2 linked regions of the Drosophila melanogaster genome follow. The protein of the gene in region 2 purifies or fractionates together with the protein of the main gene of each other region. This does not show direct contact. Each region holds a gene or a part of one and is shown on either strand. Other genes may lie near its edges. The genes, in order: gw and mei-P26.

Evidence for each region.
Region 1: the proteins of mei-P26 (region 2) and gw purify together in Drosophila melanogaster (affinity purification with western blotting, with the first as the bait; one study listed by BioGRID). This does not show direct contact.

The regions. Positions count from the first base shown.
Region 1 is NC_004353.4:657,479-662,482, forward strand, and holds the start of gw (gawky), read right to left. Parts: upstream 3,131-5,004; 5' UTR 2,951-3,130; intron 2,506-2,950; exon of another isoform or gene 2,082-2,505; intron 1,031-2,081; 5' UTR 860-1,030; coding exon 424-859; intron 207-423; coding exon 1-206. Other genes in the region: CG46466 (uncharacterized protein), read right to left, coding at 3,677-4,495. UniProt on the Drosophila melanogaster protein: Required for gene silencing mediated by micro-RNAs (miRNAs). Silences both polyadenylated and deadenylated mRNAs. Required for miRNA-mediated translational repression and mRNA decay. Not required for miRNA target recognition.
Region 2 is NC_004354.4:9,161,532-9,166,570, forward strand, and holds the start of mei-P26 (meiotic P26), read left to right. Parts: upstream 1-1,723; 5' UTR 1,724-1,867; intron 1,868-2,631; exon of another isoform or gene 2,632-2,803; intron 2,804-4,150; 5' UTR 4,151-4,928; intron 4,929-4,988; exon of another isoform or gene 4,989-5,003; 5' UTR 5,004-5,007; coding exon 5,008-5,039. Other genes in the region: Zpr1, read right to left, coding at 1-443; CG44532 (uncharacterized protein), read left to right, coding at 944-1,495.

The sequences.
Region 1 (5,004 bases), on a different chromosome or scaffold from region 2:
CATGCGAATGTCTCGTGGATCGCTCGAAGTTGCTCCAGAACCGTTACCGCCGCGATGTTCAACATTTCGAATATCCATGGAGCCACCAACTCCCAAAGGGCGTATTTCACGAGGGTCTCCCCAACCGTTACCAGCGTTGCTGGAGTTTCCGCTACTACCTGTTGCGACTCCAGACGATCCAGTTATATTGCTTGACCCGTTACCTCCTTAAATAACAGCAGAAATATAAAAGTATTTCGGGTTAATGAAATAAAAGTTTCTGTAGAACTTAGAATAGGTAATTCCCCAGATAAGGCTCCAACTTCAATTACTACACTTTATGTTTTTATCATGTATTGTTAGTCACATTTTGAGGGAAAAGCTAGAGCCTTTATCTGATCGTTTGCGCTTAACTTCATTAATTCTAATAGATATTAGGCCTACCAGTTGATCCAAGTCCGACGCCAACGACACCTTGTCCCCACTGAGGTCCGCCAGACGAAACAACACCGCCTGGACCGACATTAACTCCGGCTTGGTTTACTCCCACTGCAGCTCCGGATCCCGCGTTGCTAACAGCTCCTCCAGTCCACACACTACTACTATCGGCGCCATCGTCGTCCTCACCCCATGTTCCACCTAAGTTAGAGGATGGTGTATGACCCCACGACGGCTTTGGAACTTGCTGTGCGGCCGGCTGACCTCCGTTTCTCAAATTGGACTCCCAAAGATCAGTACCATTGTTAATGCTTGGCTTCCACATTGGTGGACCGGGTGCATCCTTATTGGCTGGTTCTGGCGAACTGGGAACTTCCCAATTAGTATCCTGGTTAACATGCTGACAGCCCCAGCCATCTTGGGAAAAAAGGGCTTCACGCATAGTGCTCAAGTGTTCTAACTGATTGTCAGCTTCAAAAGTAGCATTCCTTACTATTCCAACATCCACTTGATCTTTAACTTCATTATCATAAGCATTTATGGCAATTTTTAAAAGTTATTTAATTTAATCGAAAAGGAATGACTTAATCTGAATCCTTGTTCTTTCCGTGTTCTGTAGAAATATAGAAAACATTTATTATTTTTATTACAAAATATTCATTCTAAATCAAATTGCTAAGTTCTTTTTTTATTTTCTTGTATATACACAGGATAAATAAACTTAATCACCGTGATACGTTTATGCTTTATACACATTATTAATAGAGTAAAATGGTATATGGTATACCAGATTTGTTCTAAAGTATGTTACATAGCGGAAGCGTTTTCGACATAAAAGCTAGACAGTTGAGAATAAGCATGCAGATTCTAGTGACCCCTACGTTGTGCACGTTTGTTTTTAGTTTTTCTATTGTTCGTTGTTCTTAAAAAATTTTTTAATTCTGATCAGCTTTTCGTAGGCTTAATCAATATCTTCTTTACAGATTTTTAACTGCATAACATCAGTTAAAATTCTGAAGGAGAAATCATAAAAATTTAAGCTTTATAATCGATTCAAAAAGTCTGAGGACATACATATGGGTATATAAGAGTGGGAGTCATTTGACAGGAGTTAAACATGTATACTTAGTATGTACATAAAGAATTTTAAAAATGAAATATGCATCGCGATCGCTGACCTACCAGGTCTGCTGCCCAACCGGCAGAATCCCCACCCACATTAACGACAAATTCCTGTGTGAAAAACGAATGCATGTCAAAAAATAAAACAATTAAATTCACAACTCTGTAATGGTATATAAATATACATATGCATATGTACACAAGTAAAATGAATTTGTCAACTCTGGGCAGGCAGACATTGACGGAAGCACCCTATTTTATGTCTCCCTTTCCTAATTTCGCACTTGCAATTATGCTCAAATAAACTTAGAATTTAAAATGTATTTACACAACCTGTATATATGCAAGTATTGGCAAAAAGACTAATGCGATAGATATATACATGTATATACATTTGTATGAATACATTTTCAGTACTCTAGTGCATATGTAGAGAAGTCATTGTACAATACTTAGTATATTCGCGTGTCTTGTACCCTATGTGTAGAAATACAAGCGAAAAGCTGAGAACGTCACAAAATGGAGATCTAACTAAAACCTACCAAACAGAAATTAGAAATTAATATCTATTGCCAGAATATGCGTTTATAGTAAAATTGAACACTTGTGTATACGCTAATAGTTCACCGAATATTTGCAACAATTTTTGCCTTTACTGAACGAGAAGTTGATTTTCTCTATATATGTAAATATATGTGCATTTTTGTGTGTATGCATGTCAAGCCACTTTGACGAGTTCACAAAGTGTGTATGTGTTGTAAAACATACACACATTCGACAATCAATTATAGTTTTTCATATTTCACAAAATAAACTGGGATTAATAACAATCTTGAATGCGAAAACTGATTAGACTCAACAATAATTATAATTCGATGTAATTGAATATAAATTTCTGCGCACGTTCGACGATGGGGACGGCAGTTACTAGTGTATTAAATAAACCCATACAGATATTCCTGCTTGCAATATTGCCACCTAGTCAAAATTTAAAGACGGAATGGAAAGGTATGTGGAGTATAGACTAATGCAAATATGCAAAATGCTTACTTTATTTTTAATTACACTATTACTAAATTTTAACTGTTGGTGTGGAAAACCTCAAAGCAAATGCGACACATTTAAATTCCCTATTGCTTTGTCATTATGTAAAAGATTTAAAGCGTGGCAACTCTTGACTGGAACATATGTACATATAGACTTTTCCAATGCACGATACACAAGCGAACAGAATTTATTCTGCACTGATACACACATGCGTATGTCCGAAACTAAACGCTTGGGTTTTTGCGACCATTTAGGTTATGCACACTTAGGTTATGTCAGAAAGTTTCGCTTTTAATCGTACTGAGTACGTCTTCAACCATACATTAAAATTATTCTACTTCAATTTAGCTGCATTACTCCGTACATTCTATCCGTGGTGGGCTGTTGGCAATCTTTTCGTTTTAATGACAAAGCGCTTGTTTTCGAAAGATTACGCACACAAAAACATTCACTACTCGTGCTAATTCATTTTAACACACGCAATTTAAATAAAAAGTAACTATACGATGCTCTCACTCGCACTTCGCCTGGATCACGACAGACTCTTCTAGGTAGATGTCCGATATTTTCTTAAACTAATCGATATTAATCAATCTTAGGTAATACCCAGTTTACACAACTGCCTAAAATAAGTGCTGTGACCCGTTCACATCGAAGAGGTCAGATAGAGGGTACACAACAGAAGGATTAATTGATTAAAATAAATTAGCTGATATAATTTAAATTAATTCAAAACAGAGCTGTTTCAAACAAGTTCCAACTCATATAACTCTCGACCATTTCTAACAATTCAAATGAAATTTAAGGGATTAAAACAATACAGTGAGATAACATATGCATTAATAAATTTTAAAGCTTGAATGCCTTATTGAAGTGAGAATTGAAACAGGTTTGGGCAATCCATTAAATTCATAACTTATTTTATTAAGTCTATGTTAAAAAAGAATCCTTAATAATGTAATGTATAAAGTTTGGACTTACGACCGATTAATATTAATGTGTATGTTTTGGTGTTTTGCCTTGAAATCAAATGAAATTATGTTCTAAAATATCGGCTCTCCTTCGACTATCTATGAGATTTAAATAGGTTTTACCAATTGCTAAGAAAATCGAAACCCTTAGGCATTTTTAGTTCAGGGGATAACAGTTTTGTATTTTCGTCTTGACGTGCATCTTTAAATTCGTTTTCATAATCAGACAAGTCGTTTAACACACTGTTTTTCGATCCACATTTAACGAGCAGTTGCATTTTCTCATTAGATTCAATACATTCATCAATATAAACAGTTTGGGTTTTTGAGAAGTTTTCATGAATGGAAATCTTTCTTTCCGTTGTGTTAACGCCGGTTTTATCATTAGAATTAAGGTGGAGAATTGGTATTTTTTTATTGGTTGAATCTTTTGTCTTCAATTTTAAATGAATGGCCTTTTTTACGCCTAATGGAGTTTCAACAAGACAGATATCATCAAATTCTTTTAATACTATGTTAATTTGTGATTTGGTTCGATAAGAAAATGGAAACGAATGTTCATCTTGAAAATCTCCGGTGTTTTCATCGCGTAATATTTTTAAACCAACGTTTTGATAATTATATGTGTGTAAATCTTGGCCGTTATATAAATATACAATGTCTCTGAAACAAAATTTACGGTAATCATTTTTACTAACTTCAGTATTTTCGTACGGATCCTGTGCCGCATAGTTTTCTTTAGTCTTATGACAGTACTTAGAAAATATAACAGGATCTATTAATTGGTTATTCAATATTTTTTCCTGTTCGTTTAAAGTCAATTTAAGCCAAGCGTCTTGGTTGTATGTAGATTTAACTTTATTGAGATCGCAGGTAATTTTTTCGGAAATTGAATTAAGACGTGAGAAGTATGACTGAGCCTCATCGTGTGTTGTCATTTTTGATCTGAAAATAAATATGGTTTGCTGTATTAAATGGTTAGCGGAACGTTAGATTCTATCATAAAATCGAATAATTATATTAACCTGAATTCTTGAAAAAGTATTTATAATTCTTTTATACTCTTCACTCGTAAAGTAAGGGGGTTATTAAAAATTAAAAAAGAACATAACAGGTGAACAAAAAGGTTTCCGAGACTAGTTAATGAACTTCGGGATTTGGACACTATATGATGTCCAAACCGAAAACAAATGCAATAAAAAAGAAATATATAACCTTAGAATCAAATTAGCCCACCTCTCCTTTATTTACATTACTAATTTTTGGTAGCCAGAGGAGTGCTTCCCGACATTACAACATTCATAGGGGCAGACGGAAGTATCAACTCGGATGGGTGTTTCTTTCTAATCTAGACACATACATATGTATGTATATACTACATAGGGTTTATGTGTGTTTAAATTGATATGGGCGTTACAGTTTTGAACGATTTGTAGGTATTTGGTTA
Region 2 (5,039 bases):
CCGGCTATCGTCCGCTCGATGATGCCTTCGACGGTGGTCACCTCGCCCTTCTGCGACTGCACCGGAATCTCTAGCTCGATCTCCGGTATGCTGATGCTGGAGTTATCCGAGCGCACCACGCGCCGATTGAGATCAGCCACGGATTGCACTCGCAGTTCGATGCGAATGCCGGACTTTTGGATCTCCGATGCCGACTGCATCTCGTTGTTGATGTGGCCGCAGTGGTCGCACTTGAAGGACATGAGCACCACCTCGCGAAAAAAGGGTATCTTGGTGGGCAGCAGCCGAGTGACTCCCGTTTCGAAGCAGTTCATGCAGGCGGATTCGACCTCCACTATCTCGTCGGTCTGCTCCGCATTGATTTCCCGGAAAATGGGCTCCGGCCGAATGTTCCCCGCACTCTCCGGCGGATTGCTACTGTTGGGGTCGCTCACGGTGGACATGATTTGATTGCTATCCACACGAAAGTTCCTGTTTAAGTGTGCTTTTTTAAATGAAATGTATATGTTTGGGGCGAAACGTGCAAGTTTAATCGATAGACGCTGACGATAAGTGTCGATAGTCGTCGTGTGACCGGCTTGCATATGCTTAAAACTCCTTAAATACCCAGAAGTGTGCTCGGCGCGTTGATCTTAAACGCTCGAGAATTTACTCGTGTTCGATAGAAAATTCCCCGAAATAAAAAGGTGCACAAATAAATTTAAGAGCTTACCTGTAGCGGTACACGGTAAGGCCATAAAACAAAAACTGATTGGCCATCTGCATATTAATCTGGGAATACCACCTACCTGACACACGTTCTTCCTAAAATTACCTGCGCTTTCAGAAATAACTGGAGTCCTTTTGTAGAGCGACAATTCAAGGCAGTACAAAAAGAGCCAAGCTTAGAGTATCATTGAATTGTTGATATTCCTGTTACCATTTTAAGAGACTTTCAATTAAGATGGCCGGATCGTCGAGCATTAGTGCGCTGTTGGCCGAGCAAATGAATTTGGGCGAGAAGATTCAAAGCATTATTCGCAATTATAAAAAGGCTCCGGCTCAACGGAAATCTAAACCTGGATATTTTGAAGGGCGACTATCCAAATTGCAAAGCTTGTGGGATGCATTTTCCAAAGGGGAAAATACTATTAAAACTCGCAACGAAAAGACGCAAATGGAACATACATACTTTAAAAACAACTTCTTTGTCAAAATAAAGACTTTGGTAGTTGAATATACATCAGAATTCAATCGAAAACTGCACGCATCGGAAAATGATACTGAAAACGTGCACGCATCGGAATTGGATACTAAACACGTGCCCGCATCGCAGCAGAATTCTGAAGATCAATTCAATTCTATGCTTAGAGAGCATCGGATATTGATGGACAGATTGGATAATATTATAAACGAGTTGGAATGCGTGACAAGGAATGGGATTAATCCCATCATTTTACCCTATTTAACTGATATGCAAAATATGCATGCGGAAATGAGTCAAACTGACATTTAAATGTAATGTAACATGTAATAATAAAGCGTATTTTGTGTTATTATTTAAATATATATATATATAATTATATTATACTTATTAAAGATGTAAGCTTTGCGGAATGAAAACTTAAAATAAATATTTGGCGACCGATACGCGTTTATTCAATATAACTATCGATATCAGGGCATCGCTTTTCAAAAACTATCGATACGTGGCTGTGCTGAAATATATATCTATCATCCCTAGCTGCACTGCATACAAAAGTTCGACGGGAGCAGTAAAGTAATTATTTGTTTAATCCAATAATTATCGACTCCAATCAAATTGGCGGTCTTCTGGTTGTTTTTAATGTCCCAGAACGTGCTAAATTCGCTGAATCAGTGAATAACGGTAACTGTAGATATAACTGCCTGTGGTGTGTAGTGTTCTCTTGTGTTCCTGCGTGTAGGCGTTTGTGTGGGACGGGCAAATATAAAATCGTAACGTAACAAGCAAAAGAGAGCAGCAAAAAACAAAAAGAACCAACAAAAAAACGTGTGAAAACGAAAACTACATTTAAATATAAGGTGGTGACAGTTGCGAAAAAGCAGTTAGCAGTTTAAATTGGACAGTAAAAGCTGACAACGCCGGACAGACAGTGAAGTGTTCAGGCATTTCAAGGACCTTTTTCGCCTCCTGTCTGCTGTTCGGTTTGTGAGAGTGTGTGTGTATGCATGTGCAGGCGTGTGTGTTGAGTGCCTTTTGACCACGACCACCTGGGCGGTAGTCAAGTGGAAATTTTGCGTTCAAGGACAACGGCAGTGCCCCCCCTTGTCGATTGTCACCCCGCGACCCCGTCGAGAGTTGTCTTAGCCACCACCCGCGCCCCCCAACTAAAACTTTTAAATCGACGACAGTTCGTCCGGTCGGTCAAGAATAGTGTTTATTCCGAAATCGAAAAAGGGAATTCAGTTTTAATTTCACATGGTGTGTGTGTGTGTTTTTTTTTGTATTCTGTATGTGTGGGTGCCGTTTTTCGTATTCGTATTTCATTTTTTGCCGCGTTGAGTGAGCTTGCGCACACCAATACGAACGAAATTGAGAACTTTTCTTCGCATAACCGATTTTTCGCTCTCTCTCTCTCTCAATCGCTTATCGCTCCTCTTCTATCTCTTTCGCAGCCCAGCCAGCGCTGCACTCGAAAATAACCGTTTGCGAGTAGCAAGAGAGAGAGCGGCACACATTTAAAAGTGAAATAAATCAAAAAGTACGTGGAAATGGACAAGAAAATATCAGCTGCGGCGCAGAATTGACAAAGTCGATAGGGGGACCAACAAAATCATCCAGGTCCGATAAAGCAAAGCAAAATAAAACAGAACAGTGAAAAAAAGGGGCAAAGCAGCGGTACTAAATTCCGTTTACCACGTGTGTTCGCTTGTAGGCGCTTGTGTCTGTGTGTATGCAGCTGATTCGGCATGTGGGTGTTTGGTTGCGAGTGTTTGGAGGGGGCACAAAACTAAAGTAGATTTTAAACTACCGCTCACTTCCGCTGATTTAAACGTATTTATTTAGGCAATTGCCTTGCCCCAATTGAATTAGTTGTTCAAGGACTTTGTGCCCCAGCTTGTCCTTGTTAGGGCAGCTATTTTTTTGCGCAGCTAGCGGATAAATGGCTAGAAAGGTCATCACTATGAACGCGCCTGCGTGAACGGGTAGCAAAAGCAGGAAGCAGGAGTAAAGAAGAGCTTGATGTGTGTGTGTGTGTGTGTGTGTGTGGCGCATAGCTACACATAACGGAGAAAAACGTAACGTAAACTTAACGCAAAAGGGAACCGATACTACCACCCCCTTCCCCACTCTCTCCATTAGTGGCCTAACATAGACATTAATTGGATAACCTACGATCGGATAAACATTCAATGCACGAAATCTATGTTGCTAGTTCTTATCCTTTCCCATTAAACTCTCAAAACGGCATTATTCCATTCCATCCTGGTAGCTCTTGCCGGCTATATTAATTCAAATTCGATTTCATGGGAAAGCGTTATACAAATGCCAAGCGTTTTGAATTGGACTACGCCTAAGGTCCCGTCGCAGTCGAATTGGAAGAAGGCAACAATTCTTGTCAGATGATGACATAAAATTATAGATATAGATATAGATAGATATAGATATTTCACTAAATAACACAATTTTGGTAATCAATAAAAAGTTTTCAAACCTAATCATATTTTTATTATTTTTTTTACTTAACTGACTTAGGACTTCAAAATGAATAAGAAAATTATTACCTATTGTATATCAATAAGAATCGCATTTCCAATTCTTGCTGAGTTACGTTAATTTTGAAATTAGATTTATCTGAAAAATGGCCAATATACTTTGCTAACATCCGGAAAGTATGCAGCAGAGTGTGTGAGTGTGTGTGTGCTGTTGCAAAAGCCAGAGGCGTTTTAAAGGGGGTTGCACTGCGTATGGAAAGGGTAAAAAAGAAATGTTTCATTTGATTTAATGCCAAATTCCCTTTCTCCATATGTCAGTAAGGTTCATCTATATTTGATATATTTTGTTCTGCGTTACAGAATTTATATTTCTGTTTTAGTTTTATATTTATTAATTTGTACATTTTTGTAAATTTCTAGCCACCGATTAACGTGATTTTTGTATCCATTGTTCTTTTTTAAATACCAAAAGGAGCGGCGCTGTCGTCCAATTTGCATCGCCGTGTTCTTCGTCAGTGTTTGTTGTCGTCTCCTCGTTCGTCCTTAATTTTATTTCGTCCTTGTGCAACAAGAAGAAGCAAAAGAACAGCCACATCAAACAGGAGGAGGATCACTGCAATACACAGTTTCCAAATGCTTTAAAAATATTCGGCAATATCTAAATATCTAGAAAAGTAAGACAAGCAGCGAATCAGCAACAACAATCGAAAACACCAAACAAAAACCAAAAAACTAAGATAAGCCGAAAGCCGAAGGAGGCTCGCAAATTTGTTTACAAATTTGCAATACATTTTAAGTAAGCGGAGGAGAAGAAGGGGTGTTTGTTGCGCATCAGTGTGTGTGTGTGTGCGTGCGCGTGGATTGTATAGGTCCTTCGCTCATTTTTACCCCGACGAAACGAACTATTGTTGGCCTTTTCTTGCGGCAATAGAAGGGACCTCAATTGGAATGGCCCTCGTGGGAGAGCGGAGGGACATTAGGGAGCAGCAGAAGTAGCAGCAGCAGCAGCAGCAGCAGCAGGATTAGGATCAGGAATAGGATCAGGAATAGGATCAGCAGCAAATGCAAGCAAGCGCAAAGGACTAGAAAAGCAAGCAGCGACCAGAATTTAGGAGCCAGGAAATACGGAATTGCAATCAGGAAACAGGAACGGGAACGGGAAAAGCAGCCCAAAAACAATAAAACAAAAGGAATCCATTGAATCGACAAAAGACAAGAACTTGTTGTATCAGAGCAGCGCCAAAAGAAAGGTGAGTAGTAGTTATTCAAGAATAATATTCGGCTTTACTGGTATTCCTGATCAATCAAAGTTAACTTGTTTGTAGGACAATGACTACTTTGGAGGAGCCTGTCCAGGCGGC